2 linked regions of the Macaca fascicularis genome follow. The protein of the gene in region 2 purifies or fractionates together with the protein of the main gene of each other region. This does not show direct contact. Links are inferred from orthologs where the notes say so. Each region holds a gene or a part of one and is shown on either strand. Other genes may lie near its edges.

The links. The genes of interacting proteins can lie anywhere in the genome.
Region 1: the proteins of MLF2 (region 2) and BAG2 purify together in Homo sapiens (affinity purification with mass spectrometry; 4 studies listed by BioGRID and IntAct, with this or other methods). This does not show direct contact. The link is inferred for Macaca fascicularis from reciprocal best matches to the Homo sapiens genes MLF2 and BAG2.

Annotation. Positions count from the first base shown.
Region 1 is NC_088378.1:114,546,412-114,550,160, forward strand, and holds the start of BAG2 (BAG family molecular chaperone regulator 2), read right to left. Parts: upstream 2,678-3,749; 5' UTR 2,304-2,677; coding exon 2,191-2,303; intron 2,141-2,190; exon of another isoform or gene 594-2,140; intron 1-593. UniProt on the Homo sapiens protein: Co-chaperone for HSP70 and HSC70 chaperone proteins. Acts as a nucleotide-exchange factor (NEF) promoting the release of ADP from the HSP70 and HSC70 proteins thereby triggering client/substrate protein release.
Region 2 is NC_088385.1:7,675,637-7,678,684, reverse strand, and holds the end of MLF2 (myeloid leukemia factor 2), read left to right. Parts: coding exon 1-18; intron 19-186; coding exon 187-346; intron 347-1,535; coding exon 1,536-1,723; 3' UTR 1,724-1,748; intron 1,749-1,968; 3' UTR 1,969-2,503; downstream 2,504-3,048.

The sequences.
Region 1 (3,749 bases), on a different chromosome or scaffold from region 2:
GTTCATACTCCAGGTCATGAAGTATGAAATTTCTTCCACAATTGACAGGATGATGTGGTTAGGGAACATTACGTGCACACTTCTAAGTACAAACGGTAAGGTTTTATTCTACCCAGTTACACTACTTTATTAGTTAACATAAAATCAAACTATTAGAGCAAAATTACATATGAGTTTCATGTTTTCATTTAAAAATCGATCTTGTACGCATGATTCTAGTTTTTAATAGTGTAGTGTTCTATGCCATTGCCCATGTGGTTTCAAAAAAACACTTTAATAGGATCAATGTTAGCATTTTTCTCTATTTTTGCTTACCTTAGGAAATCCTTCCTTTTCAGCTAGTATTACTTTTTTAAAAAGAAAAAAAAGGCCTACAAAAGTCTAGAATTACTAAAAAAAGTCCTTGAAATGAACAGCCACATATTAATCACTTTTCTCCTCAGCTCAAATGTTAATTAAGCAAGTTGTAATTTAATCACTGATGTGCAGTAATCAGAATTCATTTTACATTAATCAAACATTAGAATATAATAATATTCAAAACCTGAGGCTTTCTTTTTAAGAGGAGCACTTCAGAGGGCTTTTGTACCTACCACATGTGAGGCATTAATTCAAGTTTGAGGACAATGACTCAGCTTGAAGGAAGGCGGGGTGGAGTAACATCCTACCCATTCCTTTAGGAAAAAATCTTTTCTTTCTAACTAGGGGAGAGCGAGTGAAGTGGTTGAGAACATGCCCTCAACGTTCTGAAGACATGGAGAGAGGTGTGTTACTTGTTATGCGGCTCCCTAAAAAGAAACATCAGTTAGAGGGACTTCCAGTAACTGAGGCCACCAATTTCTACTTGCGCTTTACTTTTTCTGGGAGTGGAACGGGTCAGGTTTGCTAGTATTGTGAAAATCCATGAGGAAGCATTATTTCTCTCTTCCACTTGCCTCATTCTGAGTGGAACCCCAGAACCTCGTGTAGGGCTTAGGTTTCTCTGCTGCCATCCAAGAAATTATTTTGAGCGGAGAATCTCTCACTCTCTGGCTCTTTTCTCCCAATAGTAACAATAATAATGCCTTACTTGTTAAAAGAGATGCCGTGGTTTTGAAGTATTTTCTCGGCAAACGGACACTTCATATTTGGGTGTATTAATGGAGGGAGATAAAACACACATGCAGTGTTTCCTGAACTTTTTGGCTCACATGCTTCTTTGCTCATGCACAACCTAGAGAAAACTATGGAACCAACTCCTGTGTACAGTTTCAGGGAATTCCAGGTGCCTAACAAGGTTTTCTTTTAACTACAGTTGCTCACAAAATTTACACAGTAACTTGAGACAAACGTTCACAGGAAGTAGATAAAACTTTTCAATATACCGTTAAAGTCTTTCCAAAAATCTATTAACATTATATTGTTTAGAAATTCTGTACAAGTCTACTACTATATTACCTAATAAAATCTTAAGCAAGAAAAAGGGAAAACTATCTTTTCATACTTTCAGGCCAGTGACTAACACTTCGTCTTCTATGTAGGGAGGTGCCCAATAAATACTGAGAGACAAACGGAACCGCGGAATCCCGTCCGCCAGGTCAGGGGATAAAGAGAAGCCGCAACGTCTTTACTGCACGAAGCACCCGGTAACTTACTGCCTACCCCTCACTCCTCTCTAATCTTTGGTCTCAATGGATTGCTGGGTTGGTTTTGTTTTATTCATTTTTGCTCTTTTAAGTGTTCTGAAGCAAGGAAACTTAACTTCACGTGGAGGGCCACTGTAAACTGCTGCCTCCCTTAAAAATGTATGACGGGAGAAGAGTAAGTTAAAAACATTTGGGGCCACACAGAAGGTTCTAGAAGCTCTGCAGACCCACGCTGCCACAGTCGTTAATCGCATGGAATCTCACCTCTTAACTTTTATCTCCTCTTTTTCCTGCTCCCCAACACCTAGGTAAGTTAATCAAAGTGTGGCCACCATCACGCCCTCACAGGTTTAGCTTACAATGCGTTTTCTCTTGGACAAGGGGAGAAAATCCAAGAAATAAACAAAACTACACCACGTCCATCCACAACAAATCTCAACAAGCAACTTCTGTTGCCGCAGCCTCACTGTGCCCCAGGGCCCGGCCCGCCACACGCGGCCTCCGTCCGCTAACCGCCCGCGCGGCGAGCAGAACGCCCGAGACCGCCCGCCCGCCCGCGGCTCACCTGAGCTCCAGCTGGTCCAGGCTCTCCAGCAGGCGGCTGGAGCGGTCGGCCATGGAGGAGGAGCGGCAGAAGCGCCCCTCGTTGGCTTTAGCGTTGATCTTCGCCTGAGCCATCTAAGCCTCCGACGCGGGGCAGCCGAGAGGTCACCGGCCCCTCCGGCGGCGGCGAGTGGAGCGCTCCTCGGGCTGCAGGCGTCGCCGTCACCACGCGGGCGCCCGCCCTCCCTCTGACGCCCGCGGGGGCAACCCGGGAGGACTCGCCGACACCGCGGCTGCCGCGTGGCCAAAGAAGGGCAGGCGCGGCGCCCGCGGGGCTCGGGGACGCCGGGCCTGGGAGGGGGCTGCAGCGGCTGGAATTAAGAGGTTCGCGGGCCACAGGGGCTCGAGGATGGGCCGATAGGGGCTCGGGCCTGGGGAGCGCAAGTCTCTGAGGCACGGGGAGGGGCAGACGCAGAGACTGAGCGCCTAATGTGGCCAGCGGATCGTCTGCTCCTCGGACCCAGGAACTACCCGAAGCCCGCCCGGACCCACAGACCACCCCCAGCTCCGCCCCGCGTGGCCCCGCCTCTTCGTGCAGCCTAAAAGTAACCAACTTCCCCCACACGAAGGTTCCTATCGGTCGATGGGTTGTGGGTGTATTGCTCAGTGATGGCTTCGTTTAGTTTCTTCCAGCACCCATAATTCAAAGCAAGAACAACGACATTAAGGGTCCTGTGATATAGGGAGAAAAGGTCCTTTTGTGAAACAGAAGGCAGTTAAGTGCAGCTCCTAGGCAGCCCACACTCACCTGACCTTCCTGTTACCACTTTATACTAAGATGAGAGTAACGAATGCCCGGACAACGCTGAAGCTATTAAGTAAAAAAGAAAAAGCTACTCCATCTTTCCCTATCTAGGTAGATGTAGGAAACAAAGTGAATTTACTTCATTTTTATCATTCTAAGGATTACAGGTGTGAACCACCACGCCCGGCTTAATGAAGGAGTTTTTAATTTTTGCTATTAAAATTATTCCTGTTGAGTGAGCCGAGATCTCGCCACTGCACTCCAGCCTGGGCAACAGAACGATACCTTGTCTAAATAAATAAATAAATATTCTGAGTGAAATAATTGGCATTAAGAAGTCCTCAACTTTTAATTTTTTTTTTTTTTTTTTTTTTTTGAGACCGAGTCTCGCTCTGTGGCCCAGGCTGGAGTGCAGTGGCCGGATCTCAGCTCACTGCAAGCTCCGCCTCCCGGGTTCACGCCATTCTCCTGCCTCAGCCTCACAAGTAGCTGGGACTACAGGCACCCGCCACCACGCCCGGGTAGTTTTTTGTATTTTTTAGTAGAGACGGGGTTTCACCGTGTTAGCCAGGATGGTCTCGATCTCCTGACCTCGTGATCCACCCGTCTCGGCCTCCCAAAGTGCTGGGATTACAGGCTTGAGCCACCGCGCCAGGCCAACTTTTAATGTTAACAAAAAGATGCAGTAGGCCTCTAGGTCAGGCACCAGCTGTCGGTAAAAGATGGAATAGAGCTGAGGATACAAAGATTAGTCTACTTAAAAAGTTAGGTTTTGG
Region 2 (3,048 bases):
CGCTCGGCACCAGGCGGGGTGAGTGGGGGGCCCTCCTGTCCCAGAGAAGGGGGGATTGAGCGGCACCGCCAGAAACCCTGGCTGCTTTTTTCCGGATTGGGTTGTGTGTGGTGTGTTTCTCCTGAGATGGTATAGCCAGGGCTTTGGAAGGGGCGGCTGAGTGTGCCATGTTCTGCCTCATCCCAGATCCGGGAGACACGGAGGACTGTTCGGGATTCAGACAGTGGACTGGAGCAGATGTCCATCGGGCATCACATCCGGGACAGGGCCCACATCCTCCAGCGCTCCCGAAACCATCGCACGGGGGACCAGGAGGAGCGGCAGGACTATATCAACCTGGATGAGAGTGAGCCTTCCCTCCCACTTCCTGGCCGGCAGCCCCTAGCCCAGTTCCTGTGGGCTAGGAGACATCCCTAACTCATAAACACTTCTGGGCAGGCCGGGCGCGGTGGCTCAAGCCTGTAATCCCAGCACTTTGGGAGGCCGAGACGGGCGGATCACGAGGTCAGGAGATCGAGACCATCCTGGTTAACACGGTGAAACCCCGTCTCTACTAAAAAATACAAAAAACTAGCCGGGCGAGGTGGCGGGCGCCTGTAGTCCCAGCTACTCGGGAGGCTGAGGCAGGAGAATGGCGTGAACCCGGGAGGCGGAGCTTGCAGTGAGCTGAGATCCGGCCACTGCAGTCCAGCCTGGGTGACAGAGCGAGACTCCGTCTCAAAAAAAAAAAAAAAAAAAAAAAAAACTTCTGGGCAAAGCTCTGGATCAGCCCCATATATATATATATATATTTTTTTTTTCTTTTGAGACGGAGTCTCGCTCTTGTTGCCCAGGCTGGAGTGCAGTGCCGCGATCTCAGCTCACTGCAACCTCCGCCTCCCCGGTTTAAGCGATTCTCCTGCCTCAGCCTCCCGAGTAGCTGGGACTACAGGTATGTACCACCACGCCCAGCTAATTTCTGTATTTTTAGTAGAGACGGGGTTTCATCATGTTGGCCAGGCTGGTCTCAAACTCCTGACCTCAGGTGATCCACCTGCCTCGGCCTCCCAAAGTGCTGGGATTACAGGCGTGAGCCACCGCGCCCGGCTGTCAGCCCCATATTTTTACGCACTCGGAGCCTCCTCCGCTCAGGGGCTGAGTCAGGTGCCGGCGGTGTCTTTGAGAGGGGCCTGCTTTGTCCCTGAAGTTCCGTATTGATAGTGTTACACTCTTCTCCACCTGGATCTGTTTCTTTCTCCCCTCTTTATCTTTTTCAAATCCGCAATTATTAAGTACTTAGTGTGCACACAGGACTATGAACCTGAACTGAAGAAGAATCCCATTCTGATTTCTTCCTCCAGTAGGCCACCTTAGGCCTACCGGTGGCTTCCCGGGATCGTGCAGAAACCAAAGAGCTAAGGGAATTGCCGCCCCACCCACCCCTGCACACACACTCAGCCTTCGCCGCTTTGGCCGGAGAAGCTGTGACTCGCTCGCACATCGGCCTCCAGGAGCCAGGCCGCACACAGGCCTCATGTGGACTCCGTCCCCTCCAGGTGAGGCCGCAGCGTTTGACGACGAGTGGCGGCGGGAGACGTCCCGATTCCGGCAGCAGCGCCCCCTGGAGTTTCGGCGGCTTGAGTCCTCAGGGGCGGGGGGACGAAGGGCGGAGGGGCCTCCCCGCTTGGCCATCCAGGGACCTGAGGACTCCCCTTCCCGACAGTCCCGCCGCTATGACTGGTGAGGGCCCCGGGCCCTCAGCCTCTCTTGTAAGTATCAGGGGTAAGGAGGGCGGGGTGCACCTGCGGATGGTCCTCGGCCGCGAGGCAGGCGCAGTCCAGGCTCCCGCAGGAGCTGCCTTTGATAGTGCGAGTTGGTGTGGAAAGAGAACAATGTTCTCACTGACATAGGCGATTAAACCCCAACTCCTGGCTCTTAACATAAGTTTTTTCTTCCTTTTGATTTGTGCTCCTCTCTTTTCCCCTCCAGGTACAGGCTGAGAGGCTGAGAAATCATCCCCTGAATAACTTTTTCCTCTCTGATTCCCATCCCCAATTTAATATTAAATTAACAGGCAAGCCGGCCCCCACCTCTCCCTGGGGGTCTCAGGGAGAACCTTTCCCTACTTTTTCCTTCTTTAATCCCCTTACCATGATGACTTCGCCTCTGCATCTACTAACTTGATTTTTCATTCTGCTGCTCCATCTTCAAACCCCTCACCTTTCCCATTCTACTCCTGCCATGCATTGAAGGGTCTTTTGGGGTGAGCTCTGGGTTTAGGGGCCTCCTCCATCCCTCAGCTACCCTGGATCTTTGCCCACCTCTTCCTCAGAGCCCCCACTGAGGGGCCGTAGCCCTGTCTAGGGCTGTGGAAGGAGCAGACTGGTTCCCAACTCTTTCTCCCTACTCCTGCCCACACACATCACCAGAATCTTCCCTAAACCCTTCCCTGCCTTTATTTTTTGATTTGTGCAACTTGTAACTAGGTGTTTATGGAATAAAGGAGAATAGAAAAAAGACCAAATGGGATTCTGGCTGTACTTTTGATCTTTTCCTGTTCAATTCAACCCTCCTGTCTCCTCTGAAGTTATCTTCTCACTTTTCCTCATCTCCACGTGTAGCTTTCGTACCTCAGAGTTCAAGCCCACATCTCCTTGGTGCGGAGAGACCATCAGCACTGGCAGGTGCAGGCCATCAGCACTTGGCTGGGCTAGGCTGGGGCGTGAGAACATGAGCACGTGCCTCGCTGGCTCTCCCCTCACATTCTGCTGTCACTTTTCTCTTCAGGGATGCATTGGGCATCTCTCATGGGTGCCTGCAGAACTTGCTGCCCCTTGCTCCTTAGGCAGAGTTTCTTTCCTGCACTCTGGGTGGAAACACTTCAGATAACCCTGCACAGGCCTTCAGAGGGGAGGAACTCTGGTCTGCAGCGTTCCACAAACCCTCCACCCACAGTAGTTGAGAATTTGAGCCCAGGGAAGAAGACTAGAGAAGAAAACTTAACCTGGAACCTGAGCATGACTGGAAGGGCATGAGGAGCTCAAATTTCTCAAGACGTTCACTCTTGCT